Linked DNA regions of Macaca mulatta. The protein of the gene in region 1 interacts with the protein of each later gene in a biochemical or structural test. Links are inferred from orthologs where the notes say so. Each region holds a gene or a part of one and is shown in the gene's direction. Other genes may lie near its edges.

Region 1 (5,689 bases):
AGTCTTACTGTGGTGCTCAGGCTGGTCTTGAACTACTGAGCTTCAACCATCCTCTCATCTCAGTCTCCCAAAGTGTTGGGATTACAGGCATGAGCCATCACCCAGGCTACCATTTTTTTAAAAATTGAGATGGGGGTTCTCGCTGTATTGCCCAGGCTGGTCTTGAACTCCTGGACTCAAGTGATCCTCCCGGCTCAGCCTCCCAAAGTGCTAGGATTATAGGCATGAGCCACCACACCTGGTGGAGTTAAAAATTAAAATACACCATTAAGGCATGGAGAAATTATAATACAAATGGCAGATAATAGGACTTTAGAGAATCATTAAAGTTGAGGTGCCAGTCTGAGTCTAAGGCCCAATAAAAAAAAGTTCACCAGAATTTTAAGACAAACAACTGCTTATCTGACTTCTTTGGATGTTCTCAATAATTCAAGACCGTGTAGTTAGATTATAAGTATTACATTGTGGAGGCCCACATATTAACAAAAATAGACAGTAAGACCGCTAATTCTTACGAATGAATTGTTAAAAATAATCAAGTGTTCCGAGATTTTTGGAAAGTACCTCGTGAATTAAAAAATTAAAGTCTTTCTACATTTGTGTGTTCTTAAACAGTGTATACTGATCGTAATTATTTAAAAAATCATGTGTTCTAAGATTTTTGGAAAGTACCTCTTGAATTACAAAAACAATTCAAGCAAGTCATTCCACATTTGTGCCTCCTTAAGCAGTGTATACTGATCATAATTGAACTTTTCTTCATGATGGAAAGATACCACAAGGAAAATTTCTTATGTTCTGCTGTCCTTTGTTGCTCTCCAATTTAAGTGCATACGTTTGTTTGCTTCTATATTATACAACCTCAAATTTATTTTTTGTATAATATTTGAGGTTTTCTTTTTCATATCATTTATTATAATAATAGCTAACCTCCATTGAGAGAATGCTCTGTGCCAAGACGCTGTTCTTCCTATTTTATATGCTTTTAACTCCTTTATTCCTCACAACAACCCTGTGAAGTTAACTGTTAGACAATTTCTGTTTTACCAGGAAACTGAGGCACAGAGTTACTAAGTAACTTTCCCAACATTATTTGGTTAGTAAATGGCAGAGCTTGGGCTGAACTTCAGTAGACTGGCTTCAGAGTCCACGCTCGTTAGTCCTTTGGAGCGCTTTTCATATTCTTGAATTCTCACATTCTGTCTTTTTTCACGCTGTCAGCGGGACCTGACTCCTGTTTTTAAATTTCATATTGTGTTTTTACTGTTAATTTGGAAAACAAATGCGTACTTTTTAGAATTCTGTATAAAGGAGGAGTAAATATGCGATGAGCAAGGACCTAAGTGGGCTGTCAGTGAGTTTAATATATGAGTTCTAATGTGCAGAGTTGAGGTTTATATTGACTGCTCAGTGCTTCCCTGGGGCTAGACTATAAATGGATGGATATTAGGAAGTCTTGTTCTGATTTGGTAATGATGTTAATGCATTATTCTAAATCAGATAGTCTTAATATAGTTTAAATGTATGTTTCGAACCAAATGTTCTTTTTTAAAGCACACAAACATTTTGAAATCATTCCTAATGTGGTTATGAATTATTGATGTTCCATTGGGAAACTAAAATGCAGATTTTTCTCTTTTAGAAACTAGGGACTGTTGCAAAGCATCATATTTTAGTGATACACTGAGAGCCAGTGGTGTGTTTATAATAGGACAAACAGTCCTATTATTCTTCCGTATAAATTCTAGAAAAATGCTTTAGAATTTATAAATTATTACAAAATAAGACTTATTTTTAGAGAGTTTAAAATTTAGGGGTTTTTTTTAATGGTTTGTTGTGTTTTTTTTCCTCATTAGGAAAACACTAGTACTTTTCAGTTACCTTGATTTTTAAATTAATCTGCAGGTCCCCATTCAAAGGCCTTGGGTTCTTTTCAAAGGTCAGTATAATTCAAGCTTAGATTATGAAGGACTGAACATACCCAAAGGATTTTGCATGTGGATCTTTACTGCCACTACCACAACCATCACCACCTACGTACACACACGACACACTCATTCTCTCTCTCTCTCTCTCTCCCTCCCACACTCCCTCCCTTCCCCTCGCCTCCCACCCCCACCCTTTGCTCTCATGGCATCTTTTAAAAATATACTCTTGAATCCTTCCAGGGAGGGCAAATTCACTTCTTATCTAAGTAAACACAAGTGGCATGCATCAGTACCAGGACTGCCCATCTTGCCTAGTTCCATTATTAAATGAGTATAGGCTAGAATTCATCTTGTTCCTTAAGAGTCCAGTATTTCTAGCTAACCATGCCTACATTTAAACTTACTCTCATTTCTTTTCTACTTGACAGTGTTCTTCCAATATACTAGCATTACAATTTCTAGATTTGATTTTCTCTCCTGTCTTATTTCCATCCGTTTTCAAGTCTATTAAGATCTACCTCTTCATTTGTCTTTTACCACCATTCTTTTCACTCATACTACTGCTACTGGCTCAGCCCTCTCATTACAGTCACGTAATTCTAACATATATATTGCTGCTAAGTTAATTTTCCTTAAGTTACTGATTGTGCTTTTTAAAAGCCCCTTGTTGAATATTTAGGCAGGACTCCATGTGGACATCCACAGGCCTCCGTAGTACAGCCCTAACGTTCCCTTCTGACTTTGCCTTCCTACTCTTCTATGTGTACTTTACATTGTGGACAAACTACTATATGCAGTTTTTCAAACATGTCCTATTTTTCCTACCTCTGTGCTTTTCATTCTCTTCCTTCTCCCTGGAACCTTCTAACCCATCTCTACTTACTGACATTCTAATGTCTCTTTTTCTAAGCAGGACTTCTTGATTCCCCTTGACTAGAAGTTATTCCTCTAAGCTCTCCCTATCCTCCCTTAAAGCATTTTTATAAGTCTCAAGTACCAACTCTACATTGTGTTTTTGTTGACCTTACTATATCTACTACATTTTTAACTTCTTCAGGAAAGGTGGTGTGTCTTACTCATCTTTGTATTGCCTGCAATCTCTAGTCCAGGTTCTAAATAATAAATATTTTTATATGTGTTTTGAAGTACATTGACCAATGAAGATAAGAAATCAAGAGGCTATTTCCTTTTTTTTTTTTTTTTTTTTTTTTTTTTAGACAGTGTCTCACTTTGCCACCCAGGCTGGAGTGCAGTGGCACAATCTCAGTTCACTGCAACCTCTGCCTCCTGGGTTCAAGTGATTCTCACGCCTCAACCTCCCAAGTAGCTGGGATTATAAGCGTGCACCACCACACCTAGCTAATATTTATATTTTTAGTAGAGATGGGGTTTTACCATGATGGCCAGCATGGTCTCAAACTTCTGGCCTCAAGTGATCTTCCTGCCTCAGCCTCCAAAGTGCTGGGATTACAGGCATGAGGCATGAGCCACCATGCCCAGCAAGATGCTATTTCCTTAGTCACCTAAATATAATCTCATTTTTAGTTATAGAAGGTTTGAAATAGGAGTGAATAGACTTTACTTAATTCTGACTTTACTTTATTTCTGTAGTTTTTTTTTTTTTTTTTTTTTTTTGAGATGGATTCTCACTCTTTCGCCCAGGTTGGAGTGCAGTGGCACAGTCTCAGCTCATTGCAACCTCCGCCTCCCGGGTTCAAGTGATTCAACTGCCTCAGTCTCCCGAGTAGCTGGGATTACAGGCACCCACCATCACACCCAGCTAATTTTTGTATTTTTAGTAGAGACAGGGTTTCACCATGTTGGCCAGGCTGGTCTCGAACTCCTGACCTCAAGTGATCCTCCTGCCTCAGCCTCCCAAAGTGCTGGGATTACGGGCATGAGCCACCATGCCCTATTTCTGTAACTTTTGATAAGTCATTTGATCTGTTGTTGTTTTCTTATAGTAACAAAGTAGAAATAATTTTCTGCCTGCTTTACTAGATAAATTAAGGGGAAAAAATAAGATATGTAAAAATGTTATTTGTTATTAAAAAGAAAGTTGCTATTTTAAAGGTTCTGTAAATACATAGAGTGCTTATTAGAAATTGAGCTAACACATTCAGGAAAGAATAGGAAGAGTTTGCTGAAGTTCTTTCTTTAGGGATTCTTGTGTACCAATAGCACAGTTAAAGAGCAAACTCATACCATTTTTATATTTCTCTGTAGTTTGACTAAACTTACTTGCTTGAATGATTAACTGTTATCCCAAATACGGATTATCTTTCAGTCAACTCAGGGAATCAGAGCTACTGAGTAGTATGTGTCAGATCTCTTGGGTGTGCTGGAGTGAGTAAAAGGGGAATGAATTACTGTGTTCATGCTGAGACTTTTAATTGAACAGGTATTCAGTTGATCTAGGTGATGGGCACTTTGCTACTTTCATTGTAACAAATTTGTATATTTAGTTGCTTTAAAACTTTATTTCATGCTTTCATTAGGCCCTGTGAAAAAGGGTAAAGAACAAAACACACAGCGAAGCTTTTTTCTCAGAATGAAGTGTACCCTAACTAGCCGAGGAAGAACTATGAACATAAAGTCTGCAACATGGAAGGTAAGTGAAAATTATTTGTGATTGATGATACACTTTATTTATACATAGACATTGCAGTATTAAGATAACTTTAGAATTGTGAGGGAAGGTTTACAGTTCCTTGGTGTTTGGTTATGTAACATTTATACCTTCAACTGATTTGCATATGATTCCTAAAATCCAGAACCGTGTAGTAATTTGCCAATTTGAGGCACAAACTTAAATTAGGTGAATTGTGGCACTGGTATACTAGGCTTACCTAATCAGTTGGCTTTGCCAACCACACAATATTTGGATCCTGGTAGGGCTTAATTTTCTATTAATCATGGTTTTGTATCTTTGTTCAATGTTGAGACATAGTCATCAGTGCAAGAAATAACTATCAAACCAGCCCGGATGATGAGATGAATGAAAAAGCAGCCTAGACTTTATATGAGGGGAATTTTTTAAACAGTAATGTATAGGCCCTGGGCAGGAAGTAGGTCATGGGTGGTGGAAAAACGTTCATTGATTTTCAAAAACCTGGTTAATCCACTAGTGACAGTAAATTTTATCAAAGCTTACTGGCCATGTCACACTCAACAACTTATCTCTGCTTTTTTTTTCTTTTTCCTAGCATTGTAAAATTTTTGTTAACTGCTTTGTTTTCTTCTTCATACACAGGTATTGCACTGCACAGGCCATATTCACGTATATGATACCAACAGTAACCAACCTCAGTGTGGGTATAAGAAACCACCTATGACCTGCTTGGTGCTGATTTGTGAACCCATTCCTCACCCATCAAATATTGAAATTCCTCTAGATAGCAAGACTTTTCTCAGTCGACACAGCCTGGATATGAAATTTTCTTATTGTGACGAAAGGTAAATTAGATCTAAAATGTGAATTTGAAAGTTTTAATTAGTCTACAGCATTATTGAATATTCACCGTAGCAAAGATTCAGTGTTGGCCATGCATGGTGGCTCACACCTGTAATCCCAGCACTTTGGAAGGCTGAGGCCCGCGGTGGGATGGATCATCTGAGGTCAGGAGTTTGAGACCAGCTTGGCCAATGTGGTGAAACCCCATCTCTACTAAAAATACAAAAATTAGCACTGCGTGGTGGCGGGCACTACTCAGGAGGCTTAGGCAGGAGAATCGCTTGAACCTGGGAGGTGGAGGTTGCGG
Region 2 (4,845 bases), on another chromosome or scaffold:
GGCTGTAGGGCCAGCCTAGAATTTGCATATCCACTTTACAGATGGCGGGGGGTGGGGGTGGCTGTGCCTACACTGAGCTCCTTTGCAGCCTCTGCTTTGTCCCTCTCCAGGGAAGAGGACCCAGATGATGTGCCCCATGGACATATCACTTCATTGGTATGTAAGGTTCACTCAGGCTCTCTGGTGGGGGTGGAAGTGGGGGTTAGTTGAGGCAGCCCTCAAGGTCCCAGTCCTTCACCCGCTCTCTGCTCTTCTCCTACCAGGCTGTGAAGCGTTCCCACCGGCGCCTCGGTCTGGCTCAGAAACTGATGGACCAGGCCTCTCGAGCCATGATAGAGAACTTCAATGCCAAATACGTCTCCCTGCATGTCAGGAAGAGGTGGAAGCCGGGCTGAGGGAAGGGGGATTGAGGGGGAGAGATATTGCCTTGACGGGGGTCCTGGGGTACCTCGGCTTTTGGTGAAGATCCAGGAAGTGGGATTGGGGTGAAGGAGGGACCAAGAGGAGGGGCAGGCACTGGACGTGCTACCCCTCCCTGGCCATGTCCGTGCAGCTCAGCAGTGCCTTGTTCCCCTGCAGTAACCGGGCCGCCCTGCACCTCTATTCCAACACCCTCAACTTTCAGTAAGTAGATCTCGAGTTTTCTCGTGGGCTGGGGTTGGCCCCAGGTCTGGCCCATCAGGGCACCTGAGACCGGCTGAGTTGCCTTCCAGGCTAGGGGTGGGCCGGATGTGGGGAGGACGCTGTGGACCCCAGTGCTGCCAGGATGCCTCCACATTCACTCGGTGGCTGATGGTTGAAAAGCCGGCATGGAGACAGCACCTGCCTGCTGAAACGTGCTCCGTGTGTGTTGTGATGGAGGAGCTCTGGCCCATGCTGGCAGAGGCTGGTGAAGGGCACACGGGCTGTTTAGTAATGTTTGGGAATAAAGAGGTGTGGGTCCCTGGCGTGAGCAGATCATAGCATGGCCAAGCACCTGGAAGAATCCAAGAGAGAGCAGAATCAAGGAGAATGCACGTTCAGGAAGGAAGGACCGGCGGCCAGGCAACCTAGTGGATGGGGCAGGTCTGCCTGAGGACCGGGAGGCCCCGTGTGCCTAGCACAGGAGAGAGGACCTGGCAGTTAGCATGCCCAGTAGACAGTGGAAAAAAGTGCTTGCAAGTGAAGCTGGGGTGGGCTGCCCGTGGAGGGACACTAACTGCAGTCAGCCCCTGTTTGGCAGGGGTGAAGAGGAGGGACTGTTGGGAAGGGCAGTGGCCTCTGGGCTGGATGCTGGCAAGAGGGATCTGTGACCCAGATGAGGATGTCTGGTGGGAACTGCTTTATAGCTAAGTCAACAATCCTCATGTCTTAGGCCTGGCAGGGCCAGCCTAGGCCATTGAGTCCAGCTCCCCTTCCAGGGACATGGCCACCCGAGTCTGCACACATGCCTCCCCAGTGCAGGCATGGCCCCTGAGCTGCTCAGGCAGGGCCCGTGCTGCCTAGGGATGACTCCCCTAAACAGAGCTCACTGTCTTTCCTGGGTTCTGATGGCTGTTGTGAGGCAGCTCAGTAAGGGACAGGACGCAGGGCAGGGAGGGAAGGGGAAGGCTGAATTCAGGAATTCAGCTCACAAGAAACCACAGAAATGAATCCTTAGTAGCCAGGCTAAGGACACAGAACGGGGGCAGGACAGGGGTGGGGCGGGCCGCTGTTTCCTGGAGCCTTTGCTGGAGAGAACAGAGGGCAGGTCACACTGGACTTGCTGTCTCAGGAAGGAGCCCTTCAGGGAGAAAACACGGCATCTTGCTCCAGTAGCCATGATACTAGGAGTGGAGGAGGGTGTCCCCCAGGTATGGGTCTTCCTCCTTGCTCTCTACCCTCTGCCCCCAGGATCAGTGAAGTGGAGCCCAAATACTATGCAGATGGGGAGGACGCCTATGCCATGAAGCGAGACCTCACTCAGATGGCCGACGAGGTAAGAGCCTGCATGAAGCCAAGCCAGGCAAGCGGGGGTGGCATTGGGGAGCCCCGAGACAGTGGCTGGAGGTGCGACCAACTTTGAATGCCAGCCCTTGTGGCTATGTTGCCAGGAGTCACAACCTCAGTTTCCTAGGTTGGGCTTTAGAGGAGGCCGTCTGCCTAGCAGCCTGGAGGGTGATGGGAGAGGCAGAGGGAGGAGGCTTTTAGAAGGGAAGTGGGGAGGCCTGGGGACCAGTGGGTGGCCTGCCTGCTCAGAGGTAGTTCTGAGTCAGGGTTCTGCCCCAGGCTCCTTGGGTGGCAGGGCTGGTCAAGGGGCAACGCTGTGTCGTGGGGGCCTCCATGGTAGTCAGTGAGCCCAGGTAGCAGTGGACTGGGGCTCCAGCCAGGTGTCCCCACTCAGTCCCACGTGTCCTGCCTAGCCCTGCTGCCTCACTATGCCCCTCTCCTCAGCCAGCGACAGGGCCAGGCTCCCTTTGTCTGGAAACTTAGGCCCCATCTCTTTACCTCCTGCTTCTCCCTGGGTTCCTGGTGGCAGCTGAGGCGGCACCTGGAGCTGAAGGAGAAGGGCAGGCATGTGGTGCTGGGTGCCATCGAGAACAAGGTGGAGAGCAAAGGCAATTCACCTCCGAGCTCAGGAGAGGCCTGTCGCGAGGAGAAGGGCCTGGCTGCCGAGGATAGTGGTGGGGACAGCAAGGACCTCAGCGAGGTCAGCGAGACCACAGAGAGCACAGATGTCAAGGACAGCTCAGAGGCCTCCGACTCGGCCTCCTAGAGCCTGCCCCATCCCTTCCTCACCCCACGAGCTTTCACAATAAATTCGCTCCGTGGCACTGGGGAACTTCGTGTGTGTGCGTGTGCACATTTAGAGGGTGTGTTTCTCCAGGTCCTCTGGTGGGGAGGTGAGCCTCAGCCTTTTGACCCAGAGCATCCTGCCAGTCCGAATAGAAGGGAAGAGCTTTGGAGGTGGGACTCCCCAGTCTCATGGCCTTCAGCAGCTGTGGCCCCGGGAAGGAGGCCCTGGGCTTAGGGAGAGACCCTGCCTTGGAGGTCTGCTTGGCCACGCTGAATGTGTTTTGTGGCATAAGCCTGGGCCGCTTAGGCTCAAAGCTCAACAGCAGGGCTCCCACTCTTGGTAGCCTTCAGTTCTCCTCCCATCTTCACCTTCAGACCTTTTCTCTCCCTAATCACACCTGCTTTGGGCTACAGCAGCTCTGCGGCATAGCCGTGGGCTCCAGATGTGGACATCTGACTGCTCATTGGGCTTATCTACAGCTGTCCTGAGTATAATGACCCAGCCAGACGCCCTGTCAACGGTCCTTGAGTCCTCCCTTCCCTGCCACCCTAATGGTCAGTGAGTCCATGATACCTCTTGAGTCTACTCCCTGAGTTTGCATTTGAAAATAATTTATTTTTAGTACAATTCCCCCCGTTTGCCCTATTGACATTTTGTATTAGTTGGTGTATTTGTTATTGTTGATGAGCTAATACTGATAAGTTATTGTAAACTATAGCCCATGGTTTACATTAGGTTTCCTGTCTGTGTTGTACAGTTTCTATGGGGTTACACAAATACATAAAGCCATTTATTCCCTCAAAATAATTTCATGCAGAATACAAAACTGGGTGGCTGTTGGGTGCGGTGGCTCATGCCTGTAATCACAGCACTTTGGGAGGCCGAGGTGGGCGGATCACTTTAGCTCAGGAGTTGGAGACCAGCCTGGGCAGCATGGCGAAACCCCATCTCTACTAAAAATAGAAAACCAGGTGTGGTGGTGCACGCCTGTAATCCCAGCTACTCGGGAGGCTGAAGCAGGAGGATCCCTTGAGCCCGGGAGGTGGAGGTTGCTGTGAGCCCTGATCACGCCACCACACTCCAGGGACAGAGACCCGTCTCTAAATAAATAAATAAATAAATACACACACACCAAAATCCTGTTTTTCATGGAGTCACCCTAACCGTAACGCTCTCTCCTGTGTCTCCTCCCTTCCCTTCCCTCCGGCTGCAAAGCCATCGCTTGCTGTTCCTAGTCCCTGGGCGGGCCCTGTATTCCTGAGCCCTCTGTGTACCCTGCTACTGCAGGTGGCACTGCTCCTCCGCCAGGTTGAAAATTCGCCAAACAGACCTGGAGCTCGGTTCTCTTTGGCTGGCGCCTGGCACGTGACCAGCAGGCAGCCAGCTGCTGTGGAAGCGGAGCCCGGAGACCGGCAGGGCGGGGCCGGGGCCGGAAAGGCGCGTCTGCGCACGCCCGCAGCTCTCCGGTTCCCGGCTCGGGCGAGGCTGTGTTCTGATTGGCTTAAGACGTGGGCTTCCCTTTGTATGGGCCGGAGGCGGAGCTCTGGCCCGCCCCGCGCCTGGCGTCAGTGTCTTCCGGTTCGCAAGCCCGCGGCAAGCTTCGTTCCCAGGCTCTGATTGGTCCGGCGGCTCTGGGTTCTGCGCGTGGGGTGCGGGGGAAGGGCGGGCTTGGGCACTGCCTCGGCCGCGCCCCGGCGCCGGTGGAAGGGAGCTGGCCCAAGCTCCCACGGCGTCCGCGGCGCCCTCCTTCCGCCCCTGCCCGGCCCGCTGGACCCGTCCCTGGCGGGCCCGATGCCTGTCGGCCGCTCCCTCCGTCCCCATGCGGACAGGTCCCCGCCTTCTGCGGGCTGCCTGGCTTTTGAATGCTTTGAAGGGGAACAATGGAGCGAAGGATAGAGCGAGCAGCAGGGGGCAGTTGCGTTCAGGGCCTTAAATGCCAAACAAGTGCCCTAAAAGCCTGGGCCAAACACTCAGGCTCTAAAGCACGGGCTGAATGGGGCATCCTAGGAATAGCTCTGGAGTGAAAAAAAGAGCGAAGAGAGCGTTTGAAGCCACGGACTGAGGCCTTTCCTGCCTGCCTGAGCCCTGTG
Region 3 (6,222 bases), on another chromosome or scaffold:
CCTGAGGACTGTGGGTTTTTGTGCAATCCTCACGCATGTGTAGATACCAGTATGCATGTCCTTGTGCTCACCCGAACCGCCCTACGCCCTCAGGTGGCCTGCTGGGGACTGGTGCAGCCCCCTGAAGACACTCCCAGTTGCTCGTCGCCCTCCCATCTCCGCGTCCGCCTTACCGACCCCGCGGGAGCCTTGAGTCCCAGCTCTCCAGAGTTACGGTGGAGGGGGCGGGGCATTCAAAATGACCTTATATTCCTTCGTCCCCCAAAATGTTCCCAGCTCTGTAGCGTTCCGTGGATTTTTTTTGTTTCATTTTTTAATTTTGTGTAAAGATAAGGTCTCACTCTGTTGCCCAGACTTTCCCTGGTTCTTTATTCTGATTCCCACGATTGTCCCGAGGGGGCAGGGCGGAGCGGGTCTTGAAAATACACATTGGCACAACATCCCTTCTAGTCCGCGTTCCCTTTTCTCAAGGGCATCCCGCACTTTTTCTCCTCCGTTATAAAAGATACTTATGTAAATTACTGACGTGCGAATTTACATACATTTGCCAACTAACTGCGCAGCCATTTATCCATCTCTCACCCCCGTTCCTGGGCTGCGAGGAGGAGGAGGAGCTAACCCTGTAAATGAAGTCACGCGCACCGCGCTGCCGAACCCGGTGCCCGCGCTGGGGGGGAACGCGGGGTGGGCCTGTTCGTGTAAATCACATAATTTGCGTGCTCCGCCCCGCCAACGCCACTTGATTCCAACATGCAGGAAACGCCCCCTCCCAGACCCGGCCCCTCACACTGCGATCCCCCTCCCGCGCAAAGGGGGCGGGGCGGAGGATGATGCAAATGAACCTCGTGTCGGCCACGGAGCCCTGTTTCCTTTTTCCTTGGCTGGGGGCTTGTCCCGAACTTCCTCGCCCAGCGCGGCTCAGGTCTGCGCAGGCGCCGTTGCCTCCGTTGGGGCGCGGTCACGTGCCCAACGGGCGAGGCGGGGCGGGGCGTCGCGCGCGGTGGGGGCGGGGTATGGCGCGCTGTGCGGCGCAGGGCGGCTGGCACAAACGGCGGCGCCGGGGCCGGAGGAAAAAGCTTGGTGAGGAGGTCGCGGGGCGAGAAGGGAGCGGGAGGAGACTGAGTCGGAGCCGGGGCGCCGACACGAACAGGGCGGGGTGTGGGGGCGCCCGCCGGGGCCTGCCAGGGCGACCCCGGTAAGGGGGATGTGGGTGCGGCGCGGGGGAGGGGACGCGCGCCGGGGACGTTGGGTGCCGGCCGTTGGGGGGGTTGGGGTGGGGGCGGGGAGCGCGCGCCGGGCGGAGGCCGCGGGGAGGGGGAGGGGAGGGGGTCCGAGCGGCCCCTAGGCCTTGTCCCTGTCGCTACAGCTCTCCAAAGTGGCCTCAGGGCCCGCCCGGGGTTGGGGGCGTGGGGGTGCCCCGGAGGAGGGTGCCTTTTTCCCTCGTCCTGTCTCCGGGTGCGTGCACCCTCTTCCGTCCTTCCCTCTGCCGCCGCGGACCCTCTCCCCGAGGGCCCCTCCCTTCGGTCAGTCTCGGGACCTCCCTTCCGTCTGGGCGTGTGTCCGCCCCCGGCCGGCTTCCTCCCGTCGGGCTCGGGTCGACCCTACCGCCCCGCTCCGTCCCGGGCCCTCCCTCCCAGCTTCCCTCCCAGCTTCCCTCCGGTCTGTTTTTCTGTCTCTGGGTCCCTCGTTCTCTTTGTCTTTGGACTCCCCAGTTTCCTCTGTCTTTTGACCCCCCCGCCCCCAACTCTGATTCTCTCAGAATCCCCCACATTTCTCTGTCTGTCTCTGGAACGCCGAGGCAGATCCCTCCTATTTTCCAAACTCCCTCCTTCCCACCCCTCCACACCACCCTTTTCTACTCCAGCCCTCCTTTCTCTGTCTTTGGTTACCGCGTCCCACAACCCGCACCACAGTCCTCTGTCTTAGGGTCGTCTACCCAGCCTCTGGCCTCCAGCCTTTCCCTATCACTGTCCCTTGTCTGTCAGCGGACTCTCACACCTCCAGATTCTCAGGGTCTTCTCCCCGACTTGGCCCCAGGTTTTGGGGGACCTCTATAGTCAAGTCTGTCCTGGTCGTCTTCCCCACTCCTGCCCATGCCATCCCCTCTTTCCCTAGCCTGCCTGTCTCTAGCTCCTCTCACATCCCTTTTCTTTTTCCTTTTTCTAGCCACCCTGAAGGGTCCCTTCCCAAGCCCTTAGGGACGGCAGAGGACTTGGGGACCAGCAAGCAACCCCCAGGGCACGAGAAGAGCTCTTGCTGTCTGCCCTGCCTCACCCTGCCCCACGCCAGGCCTGGTGGCCCCCAGCTGCATCAAGAGGCAGAGGAGGAGGCGGAGGAGGGTGGCACCATGGGCCCGGGCGGTGCCCTCCATGCCCGGGGGATGAAGACACTGCTGCCATGGACAGCCCGTGCCAGTCGCAGCCCCTAAGTCAGGCTCTCCCTCAGTTACCAGGGTCTTCGTCAGAGCCCTTGGAGCCTGGCCGGGCCAGGATGGGGGTGGAGAGTTACCTGCCCTGTCCCCTGCTCCCCTCCTACCACTGTCCAGGAGTGCCTAGTGAGGCCTCAGCGGGGAGTGGGACTCCCAGAGCTACAGCCACCTCTACCACTGCCAGCCCCCTTCGGGACGGTTTTGGCGGGCAGGATGGTGGTGAGCTGCGGCCGCTGCAGAGTGAAGGCGCTGCAGCGCTGGTCACCAAGGGGTGCCAGCGACTGGCAGCCCAGGGCGCCCGGCCTGAGGCCCCCAAACGGAAATGGGCCGAGGATGGTGGGGATGCCCCTTCACCCAGCAAGCGGCCCTGGGCCAGGCAAGAGAACCAGGAGGCAGAGCGGGAGGGTGGCATGAGCTGCGGCTGCAGCAGTGGCAGTGGTGAGGCCAGTGCTGGGCTGATGGAGGAGGCGCTGCCCTCTGCACCTGAGCGCCTGGCCCTGGACTATATCGTGCCCTGCATGCGGTACTACGGCATCTGCGTCAAGGACAGCTTCCTGGGGGCAGCGCTGGGCGGCCGCGTGCTGGCCGAGGTGGAGGCCCTCAAACGGGGTGGGCGCCTGCGAGACGGGCAGCTAGTGAGCCAGCGGGCGATCCCGCCGCGCAGCATCCGTGGGGACCAGATTGCCTGGGTGGAAGGCCATGAAGCAGGCTGCCGAAGCATTGGTGCCCTCATGGCCCACGTGGACGCCGTCATCCGCCACTGCGCAGGGCGGCTGGGCAGCTATGTCATCAACGGGCGCACCAAGGTAAGGCCAGGTGGGGGCCTCTCTGGCGGGGCTTTGCAGCATCCTGGTTTGGCATTCAGTGCTCTGAGCACAGTGGGTTTGGAGACAGGCTTCTGGGGGGCTTCTGGGTTTAGGCAGTTCAGTGGAGTGGGTTGCTCACTTGTGGGGACTCGGGGGGGCCTTGTCCTCCCTGTGGGCCTTAATGTGTGCACCTGTAAGCTAGGAGTTTGTCCTGGAGCCACAGTGGTTCTTGACTTTGCCAGGAACTCTCTTGAAGAAACTCATGAGAGTTGCTGACATTCACAGCATGGGCCTTGGTGGGGTTCATGGCCTCCTGGTGTCTGTCTGGGGCCCCGGACCAAGCGCAGTGATGTAGACAGGCACACAGTTCACTTGTCTGTCCTCTGTTGCTGTCTGTCCCTGTCCGCATCCTTCCCTGCGCTCCTGTTGTCCATCCCTGTTTGCTGGCCCATGTCTCTAGTTCGTTCATCTGTCTCCCAGGCAGGAGAAGCAGAACGGGTAGGGTGTGATGAGTGAGCCCTGGGCTGAGGGAAGGAAAGGGGTGCTGCCCGCTAGGCCCAGTGCCTGGCCCTGGACTGCATTGTGCCCTGGGTCCCTACTGTGGCATCTGCATCGAGGACAGTCTCCTGGGGCTGGTACTGGGTCGCTGCCTGCTGACCCAGGTGGAGCTCTCATCCCCATGTCTCCCACCCTTCCCCGTCCCAGTCCCTGCCATCCATTCCCCCTGTCCTGTGTGTCACTTCCTCCCTTCCCATGTTTGTCTCTTCTCTCTGCCTTTATGTGTTTGTTCTTAGTCTCTTTTTCTTTTTGCTTTAGAACAGTAGTTCTTAATTGTATTTTGGAGTCTGGGTCTTTTTGAGAATCTGTCAGAGGCCACAGATTCTCTCTTAAAACAAATACTCATTTGCTTGGAGTTTCCAGGCAGTTATCAAGGCCTCATGGCCTCCAGCTGCCTGTTCAGGAACCTGGGGTCAGGAGCCCAGCACAGGGCAGTGGTCCACAGGGCCCTTCCGGCGTGCTGACAGGATCACTGTCTTCATAGGTGGTGTGGGGGCCTGGCCTTGAGTACAGGGCTTGGTGTCCTTTGGACAGGGCCCTGTGGGGAGTGCCCACTGCTCAACACAGCGATGCCTGGCTGGCCGATGGCACGGGCTGTGTTGTGCCCTGCAGGCATGAGGCTGAGCTCCTGATGTCCCCTGCCTCCTCCTGCAGATCCCATCTTGGGTTCTGCCTCTGTGTGGCTTTCCTCTCAGGCTGGAGCTGGCTCAGGGACCAGGGCTCCCCCGGGGCCAAGGCCTGTTTCCTCCCCACCCCAGCTGGAACTTGTTCTACTTCCCTCTCCCTCCCGTTACTTGATAGCTGAGCCAGAGCCGGCCCCTCCCTGGGCTTGGCTCCGTGCGGGCAGGATCAGTGGCCTCCCTGGCTCAGCATCTTCACACCAGGTTGGCTGTTGTCCTCGTCAGGGGGAGACCAGAAGGGCTGAGTGGCCCAGATGGGACACTGCTCTGAGCCTCAATTTGCTGATCCACGGAACAGGAAAACCAGGTTACATCTCCAGCGAGTCTGTGGCAGTTTGGGGTGGGGAGAGTAGAAGGAGAAGATCTCTTGTCTTTTTTTTTTGAAGACAGAGTCTTGCTCTGTTGTCCAGGCTGGAGTGCAGTGGCGAGATCTCGGCTCACTGCAAGCTCCACCTCCCAGGTTCATGCCATTCTCCTGCCTCAGCCTCCCGAGTAGCTGGGACTACCGCCCGCCACCTCGTCCGGCTAATTTTTTGTATTTTTAGTAGAGACAGGGTTTCACCGTGTTAGCCAGGATGGTCTCTATCTCCTGACCTCGTGATCCACCCACCTTGGCCTCCCAAAGTACTGGGATTACAGATGTGAGCCACTGTGCCCGGCCGGATCTGTTGTCTTTTGGTGCCTCTGGTGCCCACCTTCCAGGGGGTTGGGGACAGGGCCCCGGCGAGGATTGGAGAGGGGAAGTGTTTGGACCTTTTTAGCCTTAGGTGACCCTAATTGTCCTAGGGAGGTAAGGATAGGCCAGGCTGGACTGGGAACATAGGGGAGGAGCCAGCCGTCCCCTCCCCAGTGAGAAACAACTCCAGGCTTTTCTGCTTTTAGAGGGCGCCATCTGGACTCTGCTGGACTCCAGGGTAAGGCTGTGGGGTGCTGAGGTGGGCCACAGCAGTTGCCGTGGGGACATGGATCACCAGTGTGGCGGGCTAGAGCCAGTGGGAATCTGCTTCTTAGTCCGTTCTTAGTGGAGCTCCTGTGTTCTACCTTCCCCCAACTCCTTGACTGGGGACAGGTGCTCGGTTGACCTGTAGTTGGGAGAGAGTTGACTCCCACTGGCAGCAAGGGCCACCAGAGGGGACCCCAGGGAGGGTCCACCTTGCTTGGTTTACTCCTTGAAGAGCAGCTTGGAGGTGGGACAGTCACAGGCTTCTGACTGGGGGGTGTGTGTAGTGGTGTTGGGTCTCTTGGCAGGCCCATTGTCACCAATAGCCTTTAAGTCTTTAGTCTCCTGGCCCTGGTCCCACCTGCCCCTCCCCTAGGTGGGAGGGGTTGAGAGCAAGTTTCCTGAGGCCTTCCCCTGTGAGGGCAGGAAGTAGATACTTTCCTTGGGGCCAGAGGATGCTTTCACCCCCAAGGTGTGTATATGTGGGGGAAGGGTGGGGCCCTAAAGAGCAGGTTCCTGTTTCTGCATGTGTCCTGTGTGCTTGGTGGGAGGTGCTGTGTGAGAATGTACAGGACAGGAGGGAACACAGCAGGGCTGGGGTGCAGAGGAGGCCCAGAGCAGTGTGCTCAGTCAGCAGGTACTGCATTGGGCACTGGGGAGACTGACGTGGCCCCAGGGGCTTCGCTGTGGCTGCCTTCCAGGCCAGTACTAGGTAAACAGGTGCCTGTGCTGATGCCATGTTGCTAGGAGTGGAATGGACAATCAGCTGGAGTACTCAAGGTGACCCTTGGCCTCTGAATCCTGAAGAAC
Region 4 (5,689 bases), on another chromosome or scaffold:
GTGACAGCGCTGAGGGGGCACTGATGGCTTGAGGGGGAAGTGGAAGGCAGTGATCACTCTCCCCTCACTGGTGCCCCCCTCAGGCCATGTTTCTCTCTCCCTCCCACCCTGAGCACAGATTCGGGGGTGGCCCCGCCGTCAACCACCTGTACGTGTGCTCCATCTGCCAGGTGGAGATCGAGGCGTTGGCCAAGCGCAGGAGGATCGAGATCGACACCTTCATCAAGGTGCATGTGGCAAGGCAGCACGGGGGCAGCTGTGCCAGCCTCTGCCTGGGGCACTTGGGGACTTGGGGACAGAAGAGCCCTGTGTAGTCCCTGAGCAAGTTTGAAGGAGTCTTTTGAGGCTGGGCACGGTGGTTCACACCTGTAATCCCAGCACTTTGGGAGGCTGAGGCGGACAGATCACTCGAGGTCAGGAGTTTGAGACCAGCCTGGCTAACATGGCGAAACCCCATCTCTACTAAAAATACAAAAATTAGCCGGGCATGGTGGCGGGTGCCTGTAATCCCAGCTACTCGGGAGGCTGAGGCAGGAGAATCGATTGTACCTGGGAGACGGAAGTTTCAGATTGTGCCATTGCACTCCAGCCTGGGCAACAGAGTGAGACTCTGTCTCAAGAAAAAAAAAAAAAAAGAAAGGAAAGGAGTCTTCTGCGGGGGACTAGATGGCGAGGTGTCTAGGAGGACTTTTCCTGGTGAGAGGGTTGGCTTGAGTAAGTGAAGGCTCATCGCCCGGGTGCTGTTGAGCTTAAAGAACCAGTAGATGGATCCCGTTCTCAGCCTTGGCTGTGTTATTTTGGGCTGAATCATTCTTTACTGTGGGGCCATCCTATGCATTGTAGGATGTTTAGCAGCATCCTTGGCCTCTACTCACTAGTGCTAGTGACAACCAAAATGACCTCCAGTCATTCAGACTTCTGTGAAAGAGCTGAGTGCAGGTGAGGCTCCTGGCACACTCCCTCCCTGCCACACTACTTCTAACAGGGTTAGGATGTGCTCCACTCACAGGGAAGGCCCGGCGAGAGACACTGAGGGACGCCCGTGCTTTGTGGCCATTAGGAAGTGATTCTGCTGCCTGGGCACAGTGGCTTATGCCTGTGATCCCAGCACTTTGGGAGGCCGAGGCAGGTGGATCACTTGAGCCCAGGAGTTCAAGACCAACCTGGCCAACATGGCGAAACCCCATCTCTACCAAAAATACAAAAATTACCTGGGCACGGTGGTGTGTACCTGTAGTCCCCGCTACCTGGAGGGCTGAGTGAGGTGGGAGGATCACCTAAGCCTGGGAGGTTGAAGCTGCAGTGAGCTGTGATCGTGCCACTGCACCCCAGCCTGGGCAATAGAGACCCTGTCTCAAAACAAAAACAAAAAAGATACTGTCAGGGCTGGGCATAGTGGTGTGCACTTGTGGTCCAACCTACTCAGGAGGCTGAGGTGGGAGGATCACTTGAGCCCAGGAGGTCAAGGCTGCAGTGAACCATGATTGCGCCGCTGCACTCCCGCCTGGGCACAGAGTGAGACCCCCCCCCATCTCAAAAAAGAAAAGAAAAAAGAAAAAGAAACTGCTCCTGTCAGAAGGAGAGCTGCCTCTCTGAGCAGATAGGCACATTCTATTCAACCGGGGAAAATTAGCATCTGCCAGGCCAGGTGCAGTGGTTCATGCCTGTAATCCCAGCACTTTTGAGAGGCCGATGTGGGTGGATCACCTGAGGTCAGGAGTTCAAGACCAGCCTGGCCAACATAGTGAAACCCCATCTCTACTAAAAATACAAAAGTAGCCAGGTGGTGGCGCGCACCTGTAGTCCTAGCTACTCAAAAGAGGCTGAGGTGGGAGAATCGCTTGAACCTGGGAGGCAGAGGTTACAGTGAGCCGAGATCGTGCCATTGCACTCCAGCCTGGGTGACAGAGTGAGACTCCCTCTCAAAAAGTAGCATCTCCCTTGTGGTCTCAGTTGGGTCAAACAGTTATCGAAGAGACCCACAAAATGTTGCCACTGTCCTCTCTGAGCGATGGGTGTGTTCATTTTGTTTGAGCTTGTCTGGGGGTTCTGATTTTTCACCTTGAGCATCTGGTGTTTTTGTAAGACTCTTGGGTGAGGGCCTGGGGCGGGGGCATTTGGGAAATCCTTGCTGAAGGTAAATAGAGGCTGACCTGCCCTCTGTCCCCTCCCGTCCTTGCCCACCTGCCCAGCTGAACAAGGCCTTCCAGGCCGAGGAGTCGCCGGGCGTCATCTACTGCATCAGCATGCAGTGGTTCCGGGAGTGGGAGGCGTTCGTCAAGGGGAAGGACAACGGTGAGCTGAGGGGGGCCTGGCACTTACCTGCCCCGGGGGCCTCCTGGGAGATGGGATGCTGGCAGGGGAGGGCTGGCACACGGGGGCTCCTGCAGGCCCCGTACCTTCCCCCAGGTGCCACCCATCCAGGGTGGACAGAGAGCATGGGGCTCTGCCAGTCCCCAGTGGGGATCGCTGTCCCCACCCAGAGGCAGGAAGCTGCTTCTGCTCTGCGCCCCTCCCCTTCTCCACTCCCTGCCGTGCCCAGCAAGCTGCTCTGCCCTCCTGCAAGGCCCTTTCCTCAGGGGAGCGTGTTGCCCGAAATGACAGATTTGTCATCCAACTCGTTGGATCTACAGAGATGGAGACAGGCCCCATCACAAGGATGCTCCCAGGGCCCCCCAGACCCCCAGTGAGGAACAGCAGAGCCAGCCATGAGTTGCCTGTGGCTTTGGGGCCCGGCAGGGTGGGCAGAGCCCATGGTCCTGCTCACGGGACCCTTTGTGTGGAGCACAAGCACCCACCTGTGCTCGGGAAGGAAGGCCCCACTGCCATCCCGCTGCTCAGGGAAGGTGCCAGGGCCACCCTGAGGCACCTCTGGTGGTGGCTGAGGCCTTCAGCGTGGCTGTGGTTGAGAACGTAGCTCCGGAACCCCCACCCTGGCCTGGACGGTGGCCTTGCCTTCTACCAGCTGTGACCTGAGTGGTTACTTCACCTGCCCAGGCCTCGGCTCTGTCTCTGTAAACCTCTGTCTTGTCCTGTGGCTGCTGAGGCTAAATGAGACAGCTGGGCAGAGGGGAAGGGGCGTGGTGAGTGGCAGCTGCCAGCAGAGATGAGGGCATGGGCCGCCCACCGCAGTTCCCGCGGCCAGCACAGAGTCTGAGACGATCTCGTGCATCCTGGAAATTCCCTCTGCTGGGTCCTCAGACTGCCGCAGAGGAGCATTGGGTGGCCCAGGCACCTCCTTTAGAGACTTCTCGCTGACCCCCAGGCCTGGGGTGGCCTCACTTGGGATGGCTCTGCTGCTGCGGAGGGTGGAGGGCGTGGCAGGGGCTGAACCCGAGCCTGCTGTGTCTGTTCCAGAGCCCCCCGGGCCCATTGACAACAGCAGGATTGCACAGGTCAAAGGAAGCGGCCACGTCCAGCTGAAGCAGGGTGAGTTCCCCCGGCGTCAGCCAGGCTCCTCTCTGCGCTTCCTGGCTGCCAGGCTGCTGCCCAGCCCCGTCCTTCCAGGAGCCCCCTTCCCACCTGTCTTAGAGTCAGGCTGAGATGTCCACCTGAGTCCAGGCCCAGGCGGCTGAGAGATGGCGCAAGGGGCTTGGTCTCTGCTTGTGTCCTCCGGGTCCCACCCCTCCGCCTGCTGCTGGCCTGGCCCACCCTGCTGTCTGCTTGTGTCCCCCAGGTCCCACCCCTCTGCCTGCTGCTGGCCTGGCCCACCCTGCTGTCTGCTTGTGTCCCCCGGGTCCCACCCCTCTGCCTGCTGCTGGCCTGGCCCACCCTGCTGTCTGCTTGTGTCCCCCGGGTCCCACCCCTCCGCCTGCTGCTGGCCTGGCCCACCCTGCTGTTTATGTCAGCGCCACTCCCAGAAACGAGGGACACAGCCAGAAATAACACATCTCCGGGGCCCTTAGCAGGACGGACGTTCCTCTGGGAAATCCTGGTTTCCATCTGACGGCTTTGCATAGATGCCCTGGTTGCCGTCCTCCCCCTTTGGGGTCTGGCCCTGCGGAGCCCCCACTGCCCAGGCCAGTGGCTTCCTTGAGGCGGCAAAGGTGAGCCCAGGGATGCCTCTCGTGCCCTGCAGGAGCTGACTACGGGCAGATTTCAGAGGAGACCTGGAACTACCTGAACAGCCTGTACGGAGGCGGCCCCGAGATCGCCATCCGCCAGAGCGTGGTGCAGCCGCCGGGCCCGGAGAGCCTGCACGGGGAGCAGAAGATCGAAGCCGAGACCCGGGCAGTGTGATTTGCTGGGCTAGTCTGTAAGTGGCCCTGGCCGGTCCCTCCACGGCACTCTGGGTCCTCTCCTCCCTCTCCAGAGACCCTCACGTGTCCCTTTGAGCATCCAAAGGGCAGGTCCCTGAAGGCGCCTTCCTGGAGGCTGTAGGGAGGCCCTGGACGTGCCCAGCCCCACTGCTGAGTGCCCGTGTCCCCACAGCCCTGTGTGCCCCACCCCGCGGAAGGCGTGTTTGTGCCCAGAAGAGAGGCCGGGCCACTGCAGAACCCCGCTGTGTAAAGAGGCAGAAAAGTTGGTTTGGTTCGCAGTGAGTAACGCTGCAACTGGAAAACGTGCACTTCAGGCTTGTTTAAACGACCAAGACTCTGTGACGTTAATTTGGGTTTTTGTCCTGGCAGTGCTCCTGCCAGTCACTGTCATCATTGTGTCCCCCACAACTGTCCTCTTACTAGCTCGGCCCAGCTTTGTTCCTGGAGCCCGATGCTGCCCCCCTCAGGCAGAGGATGCATCTGGGGCCAGAGTCAGGGAGTAGCTGCTGCTTCACAGCGTTGCCACCGTTTCTGCCGCCACCGTTTCTGCCATGAGATTGGCCCTGATCCCCAAAGATTGGAGGGAGCTGCTCCGGACTGGTGAGCGCAGCCAGAAGCCCTGGCCAGTGAGGAGCTCACAGGTCCTCCCTGATGGTCCCGCCGCACCCCTGCATCTCCTGGGCGTCACCAGGAAGGCTCTGAAGTCCCAGGCTGCTTTCAGCACTTTTCCTGCAGACTGGAGACTCTGGACTCATTGCTGATTGGAATGCCAGGAGGAGGGTGGATTTCTGCCAGTGGGGGACATTTCTGGAGGCAGCTGGTCCCCCACACCGCATCCTGCTGAGCCTGCCCCTGGATTGGCTGTACTTTGCCTGGAAGTTCAGCAGTTCATCTTCATGGGAAATTTGCTGAGCCCCCACCAGGGAACCGGATGATGAAACAGGGATACCTCACAGCGCTGCCATTTGCTGCAAAGGCAGCTTCCCGGGCCGACGCTAGAGAAGACAGACTTCCCCTTCCTCCCAGCGCCAGCAGTGCAGAGCCCACCTGGAAGCGTGTGGGGGGCGTGCAGGGGGCAGCGCTCAGGCGGATCCTGGGAAGCGGCCTCTGGATGCTGAGTGGAAGGACCCAGTGAGCACAGCAAGGCACCAAAGCCCCTGGAGAAACCGCCAGAGCGAGATGCGGCCGTCGTCAGGGTCACAGCAGATGGCGCGTGGGTGGGGAAGGGGCTCTGGGACCAGACCCCCACACCTCTGTGGTCATCAGTCTCTGTAGAAGCAGATGGTGGTGGAAATTCCAGCAGGTGGGTCCGGCAGAGGCCCCGAGGCCTCACTTTTCGGATCTTCTCTCTCAGATCCTGCTCCCTCCCGGCTGAGCCTGGGTTCCCTGGCATTGGCCCCAGCCTTCTGAAAGCTGCTGCTGCAGCCAGA
Region 5 (6,192 bases), on another chromosome or scaffold:
ATAGGAGGGGCGCTGCCACAGTCGCCTATTTTTAGTGCAAGAGAACCCGGCCGGGAGAGGCCGGCAGGAGCCCGGAGCATTCCCGAGGTCTCGGCCCAGGTCTCGCGAGGCAGGGAAAGGGGGCAGCCCCGGGGCGGAGCGGGAAAGGGGGCGGGGCAGGGTGGGGTTGGGCGTGGCAACCGCCCGCTTCCGGGAGAGGGACCCGCGGCGCGGGAAGGTCTTTTCCTTGGGCGTGGGTCGGGGACCTGCAGCGAGGTTCGTGTTAAACCTGGACTCCCTGTGGAACGTTCAAGAAAAAGAGAACCGAATGAGGTTTCTCGAAAGGAAAAAAGAATGTGACAGTGTAATCTAGTGCTACTCCTCGGCGTTTTAGGGCCCCAACCCGGGAACCCCTCGCACCGCGAATCTCACTCAGTCCACAGCGGGAGGCGGGTGTGGTCGTTGACCTATTTGCGCCCGAGGGCTCAGGGAGGCGCTGGCGTGACCCGAGTCGGGGGCAGCAAGCTGGTTAGCGGGTGGGTGAAGGCAGGGGTCTTCCACGACCACCACAGAAACAAAACACCTGGGTCGGGATTGCGTCTTGTATTGGAAAAGCGAAAGAACAGTCAGCTGGGGGTGCCAAGAAGGCAGGTGATGTACAAACCTGGAGCCTTAGGATGGTCCACAGGCTGCGGAGGAGCACAGCCAGGACAGCGTTCCGCGGGGCCCGACAGAGACTGCGGCGGAAGGCAGGGGAATCTGCCATGGACCAGTTGAGCAAGCTGTTTCAGGGAGGGATCCAGGCCTCTGCACACCTGGGCGTGTACAGCCTGCGGCAGCTCTGCCACCGTTCCTCGCCTGTCTTCTGCCTTTACGCAGGCTTTCTAGCAGACATTGCCAAGGTTCTTCTCCAGGCCTTCAAGGCCGTAGGTTAACTGCGCCCTCCATTTCACTGCTCTGTCCTCAGCCCCTCCACACTCCAGCTCAGTACGTTGGCACTAACTCTTCCCTCCGATTGAAACATTCTTCCCCTACACGACGTCCCTCCACGGAACATTATTCTCCCATATACCCACAGTGCGCTCTCCGTGTATCTGCTCCAATGTTCTCCCCTCTTCGCATACCGCCGGAAGTAAGCTGCAAATAAACCAGAGTCCCCCGTCTGTCTTGTTCACAGCTTTGTCCCCAAAACCTAAAATAAGGCTTGGTACCCAAGAGGTGCTCACTAAGTTTCACAACATTTACTCTGCCAGACGTTGTTCAGGGCGCTTAATTTGCTTCTTTACTTTCCACACCATGTAATGTAGATACTAATGTTATTTCCAATCTCATTTCACAGATGAGAAACAAAAGTTGATAGATGTCACAAATAGAAATGTGACATCTTTATTTTGCATAGATGTTGGTGGCTGCTATCATCCTGATATGTCCTCCTGTTTAAAACTACTTGAAGAGACACGGTGCCCAATACTCTTATAGTCAGATGTGAGAGAATGAGAGTCATTACTTGTTTAAATTCCTGAGGTAGAGTGGAAGGCAGAAGGACAGCTAGGTATCCGTGTTCCACCGCTTCCCTGTCTGGGCACGTCCTTCAGGGTGCAACTGGACCCCCAGACGCCTGGGCTTTTGTGTGCAGTGACTGGGCCCAGAGAGAGCTTTCCAGTGGATGTCCCCAGAAGTCAGAACTTTAAGGTCCTCCTTTGGGCGTTTCCGTTTCTGCGAGAGCTTCCCGTGTTCTGACCTAGGCAGGAATGGATTGGCAGTCTAGCAACACACAGGGCAATTTTCACCTTATTATTTTATTGTATGTATGTATGTATTTATTTGAGTCGGAGTCTCGCTCTACTGCCCAGGCTGGAGTGCAGTGGCGGGATCTCGATTCACTGCAACTTCTGCCTCCCAGGTTCAAGGGATTCTCCTGCCTCAGCCTCCCGAGTAGCTGGGATTACAGGCACCCGCCACCACACCTGGCTAATTTTACTTATTTATTTATTTATTTATTTATTTATTGGAAAGAGGTTGCATCATGTTGGCCAGGCTAGTCTCGAACTCCTGACCTCAAGTGATCCACCCCCTCGGCCTCCCAAAGTGGAATGATTACAGGCACGAGCCACTGCGCCCGGCAAAAAGAGACCAATTTTTAGTACATCCAGAGTAACCCTCTCCTGCCTTAGTCCAGCCTGGACTAAGTCCTTCCGGAGTTGGTGTGCATCAGAACAAAAACCTCTTGAGGGAGGACGGTCCCGCGGAAGCACAGTTTTAAAGTTTATTTTTAAAATTTTAATGCCATACTTTTTTAAATTGCCCATCGTTACCCACGATAGTGAACTGAAAATTAAGCTCTCCTGTGGTTGCCCCGTCAACCCTCCCCGCACCAAGTGGAACAGGCGGAGCTCGAGCTACGCCACATAGGGGCGGGGAAGCCGCCAGGGAGTCCTCATGGGAATGTGCCGTACACTTCACCTCTTTCGCTTCTCGCTCTACATCATCCCTGAGAAGCCTTTTTAAACACTTGAATGTGCTTGTTTCAGAATGTATTTATAAAGCGCTGTCAGATTATGTTGTACGGAAGTGGGGACTGTGATGCCGTGCAATTTCCCTTTGCCTTTTGCATTACATGGCGCCGCCATCTTGAGCAGAAGTGTATCATGGGGCTCGCCATTTTACTTGGTCGAGTGGGTATTTCCGGTTCCGGCAGAGGGCTTCTCTCTTTCACTGCAAGGCGGCGGCGGTAGCGGCTGTGTTGCTCGTTTCTCTGAGCCATCCAGTGCCATCCTCGTCGCTGCAGCGACACACGCGCTCGCCGCCGCCATGACTGAGCAGATGACCCTTCGTGGCACCCTCAAGGGCCACAACGGCTGGGTAACCCAGATCGCTACTACCCCGCAGTTCCCGGACATGATCCTGTCCGCCTCTCGAGGTACGGACTAAGGTAGATTTCAGGACCCGAGATTGCAGGGCTGGGGGATTCCGCGTGGTTCGGGCAGGCCGGTGGCGCGCGCGCTGCCGGGGACTGACAAACTTCTCTGCCTCACTGTGATTTGGGGCGTGCGGACGCGAGCCTAGGCCTCAGCCCGGGCGAACCACATTGCAGATGAGGACCTAGACGTAGAGCGGCTCGTGGCTGTTAGGGTTGGAGAGTTGGAAACTTTTAAAACATCTTCTGCCTTCCCCTTCGTAGTGTGGTCGGGGGCCTACGGGCCGGGCGGGGCGGTGATGACCCCAACATGCCATCTGAGTGTCGGTGCTGAAATCCAGAGGCTGTTTCTGAGCTGCCGCCCGGCCCAAGGCTCGTGGGGAGGCGGGTGGACTCCAGAGGACCTCGTGGCTCAAGTCTCGTCCTACTTTTTCTGCCCCTGGGTCTCCCCTCCCCGTCCCTATCCCTGTGTGCCTGACTGCGTTTGGACACTTGTTGTGCTTCCCCTTTGCTCCTACACTGTTAAGAATTGTGTGACTCTTGAATCATGTCTGGCTGTTAATCGTAAAATTGTTGAGTGGGACAGGTTTCAGTAAAAGCATCCGATCCTGTAGCGCCTAAAGTGGCTTTTCCAGCATTCATTATAACATTTCTGTCGGCCCTCATGGGAGGCATGGGAGGCCCCAGCTACTCTACAGCCACGAACTGCTGTGCATTCGGTTGCAGAGAAGATACGTGGTGGCTGTTGAGTTCGTCTGAGTTTCAGGAAAGGGTGTCTGTAATTTCTGGCACCTAAATTAAGTTCTCAGGATACAGACCGGGCACGGTGGCTCACGGCTATAATCCCAGCACTTTGGGAGGCAGAGGCGGGCGGATCACCTTAGGTCAGGAGTTCGAAACTAGCCTGGCCAATGGTGAAACCCCATCTCTAGTTTAAAAAAAAAAAAAAAGCCAGGCGTGCTGGGGGTGGCCTGTAATTCCAGCTACTAGGGAGGCTGAGGCAGGAGAATTGCTTGAACACGGGAGGTGGAGGTTGCAGTGAGCCGAGATCATGCCATTGCACTCCAGCCTGGGTGACAGAGTGAGACTCCATCTCAAAAAAAAAAAAAAAAAAGAGTTATCACGGTACAGTTTAGCTCTGCGTGCGTTTTTAGTCTGGAATAGAGCCACTCAGTCCTGGCCTGTAACTGCTCTTGTAGTCTGTTGTTCCATCCCTCCTTAAGCATCCTTAGTTGTTAACCCACTCATGACCTTGACACTTAGTGAATTATCCAGTGTGTTAACAAACTGGCTGCGGGTTCCTCACTGGTTTTTCTTCTGTTTGGCCGCTTTTAGATAAGACCATCATCATGTGGAAACTGACCAGGGATGAGACCAACTATGGAATTCCACAGCGTGCTCTGCGGGGTCACTCCCACTTTGTTAGTGATGTGGTTATCTCCTCAGATGGCCAGTTTGCCCTCTCAGGCTCCTGGGATGGAACCCTGCGCCTCTGGGATCTCACAACGCAAGTAGCTGCTCACTTAGCTCTGGGGCCTTGGGAAAAAATCTGGGCAGAAATGTGGTGGATGCAATTGGCTGGTTTCCCAGGGGAGATCCAGTCCATTTGGGAACTGGAAAGCAGACTGCACCTACAGAAGATGTTTGGCCTCCCTCGCTTTGAATTAGTTACTCAGGATTGCTGAGGAGTGTGGTTGAACATATCTACCAGGTGCGACAGTTTTGAGTAGGCAGCAGTTTGAACATGTTTTACCTTGAAAGCTGAGGTGATTGGCAGGTGGAATTAGAGGGTCCTGGTGATGACAGATGACATTGTCAGCCAATCCCCATGTGGGAGTGAGGACATGTCCTGCAATTCTGAAGGGATTCTTTGTCATATATGTGTGAGTAATGCAATGAGACAGAGACAAGGCCCAGGAATCAGTCTGACCCTTGAATGAGAATGTTTGTTAAGTCTGAGAATGACAAAGTCCTCCCTCTTAGGGGCACCACCACGAGGCGATTTGTGGGCCATACCAAGGATGTGCTGAGTGTGGCCTTCTCCTCTGACAACCGGCAGATTGTCTCTGGATCTCGAGATAAAACCATCAAGCTATGGAATACCCTGGGTGTGTGCAAATACACTGTCCAGGTAAAGTGAGGCCATGGTCAGAGAGCACATCTCCAAGGATCTCTCCCACTCTCTTAACCTTTACTTTTTTTTTTTTTTTTTATTTTGAGACAGTCTCACTCTGTCGCCCAGGCTGAAGTGCAGTGGCGCTGTGTCAGCTTACTGCAACCTCTGCCTCCCAGGCTCAGGTGATTCTGGTGCCTCAGTCTCCACAGTAGCTGGTGCTACAGGTGCGCACCACCAGGGTGGTCTCGAACTGAGCTTAGGCAGTCTGCCCGCCTCAGCCTCCCAAAGTGCTGGGATTACAGGCGTGAGCCACCATGGCCTGCATATCTTTACCCTTTTTTTTTTTTTTTTTTTAAAGACAGTTTTGCTCATTGCCCAGGCTGGGGTGCAATGGCGTGACCGCAGCTGACCACAACCTCCGCCTCCCGAGTTCAAGCAATTCTACCTCAGCTTCCCAAGTAGCTGGGATTACAGGCATGTGCCACCACGCCTGGTTTTGTATTTTTAGTAGAGATGGGGTTTCTCCATGTTGGTCAGGCTGGTCTTGAACTCCCAACGTCAGGTGATCTGCCCGCCTCAGCCTCCCAAAGTGCTGGGATTACGGGCGTGAGCCACCGTGCCCGGCTCTCTGCCTTTTTAAAGTCTTGGCTGGGCTCATGCTCTGGTAGGCCAAGGTGGGAGGATTGCTTGAGGACAGGAGAGCAGCCTGGCCAACACAGTGAGACCCCATCCATAAAAATTTTTATTTATTTTGAGATGGAGTCTCACCCTGTTGCCCAGGCTGGAGTGCAGTGTGCGATCTTGGCCCACTGCAACCTCCGCCTCCCAGGTTCATGCCATTCTCTTGCCTCAGCTTCTCGAGTAGCTGGGACTACAGCATGCCCAGCTAATTTTTTTGTATTTTTAGTGGAGACGAGGATTCACCGTGTTAGCCAGGTGGTCTTGATCTCCTCACCTCGTGATCCGCCCACCTTGGCCTCCTAAAGTGCTGGGGTTACAGGCGTGAGCCACCGCACCTGGCCCTTTTTTGAGATGAAGTTTCACTCGTTCATTGCGCTGGCTGGAGTGCAATGGCACAATCGTGGCTCACTGTAAACTTCGCTTCCTGCGTTTAAGCAATGCTCCTGCCTGAGCCTTCCATGTAGCTGGGATTACAGGCACCCACCACCACACCCGGTGA

The links.
Region 2: the proteins of HIF1A (region 1) and NAA10 form a complex in vitro, tested with the Homo sapiens proteins (4 studies listed by BioGRID and IntAct, with this or other methods). The link is inferred for Macaca mulatta from reciprocal best matches to the Homo sapiens genes HIF1A and NAA10.
Region 3: the proteins of HIF1A (region 1) and EGLN2 form a complex in vitro, tested with the Homo sapiens proteins (3 studies listed by BioGRID, with this or other methods). The link is inferred for Macaca mulatta from reciprocal best matches to the Homo sapiens genes HIF1A and EGLN2.
Region 4: of the proteins of HIF1A (region 1) and USP20, one has a biochemical effect on the other in vitro, tested with the Homo sapiens proteins (2 studies listed by BioGRID and IntAct, with this or other methods). The link is inferred for Macaca mulatta from reciprocal best matches to the Homo sapiens genes HIF1A and USP20.
Region 5: the proteins of HIF1A (region 1) and RACK1 form a complex in vitro, tested with the Homo sapiens proteins (2 studies listed by BioGRID). The link is inferred for Macaca mulatta from reciprocal best matches to the Homo sapiens genes HIF1A and RACK1.

The regions. Positions count from the first base shown.
Region 1 is NC_133412.1:134,832,207-134,837,895, forward strand, and holds part of HIF1A (hypoxia-inducible factor 1-alpha), read left to right. Parts: intron 1-4,426; coding exon 4,427-4,539; intron 4,540-5,181; coding exon 5,182-5,384; intron 5,385-5,689.
Region 2 is NC_133426.1:160,174,096-160,178,940, reverse strand, and holds the end of NAA10 (N-alpha-acetyltransferase 10), read left to right. Parts: intron 1-110; coding exon 111-183; intron 184-230; coding exon 231-379; intron 380-579; coding exon 580-624; intron 625-1,872; coding exon 1,873-1,957; intron 1,958-2,497; coding exon 2,498-2,734; 3' UTR 2,735-2,800; downstream 2,801-4,845. UniProt on the Homo sapiens protein: Catalytic subunit of N-terminal acetyltransferase complexes which display alpha (N-terminal) acetyltransferase activity. Acetylates amino termini that are devoid of initiator methionine.
Region 3 is NC_133424.1:51,919,208-51,925,429, forward strand, and holds the start of EGLN2 (egl nine homolog 2), read left to right. Parts: upstream 1-2,329; 5' UTR 2,330-2,397; coding exon 2,398-3,234; intron 3,235-6,222. UniProt on the Homo sapiens protein: Prolyl hydroxylase that mediates hydroxylation of proline residues in target proteins, such as ATF4, IKBKB, CEP192 and HIF1A. Target proteins are preferentially recognized via a LXXLAP motif.
Region 4 is NC_133420.1:17,730,871-17,736,559, reverse strand, and holds part of USP20 (ubiquitin carboxyl-terminal hydrolase 20), read left to right. Parts: intron 1-118; coding exon 119-227; intron 228-2,192; coding exon 2,193-2,295; intron 2,296-2,800; exon of another isoform or gene 2,801-3,357; coding exon 3,358-3,429; exon of another isoform or gene 3,430-3,652; intron 3,653-3,771; exon of another isoform or gene 3,772-4,078; coding exon 4,079-4,239; 3' UTR 4,240-4,255; exon of another isoform or gene 4,256-4,682; 3' UTR 4,683-5,689.
Region 5 is NC_133411.1:190,284,122-190,290,313, reverse strand, and holds the start of RACK1 (small ribosomal subunit protein RACK1), read left to right. Parts: upstream 1-2,686; 5' UTR 2,687-2,790; coding exon 2,791-2,899; intron 2,900-3,186; exon of another isoform or gene 3,187-3,254; intron 3,255-4,231; coding exon 4,232-4,403; intron 4,404-4,685; exon of another isoform or gene 4,686-4,764; intron 4,765-4,879; coding exon 4,880-5,027; intron 5,028-6,192. UniProt on the Homo sapiens protein: Scaffolding protein involved in the recruitment, assembly and/or regulation of a variety of signaling molecules. Interacts with a wide variety of proteins and plays a role in many cellular processes.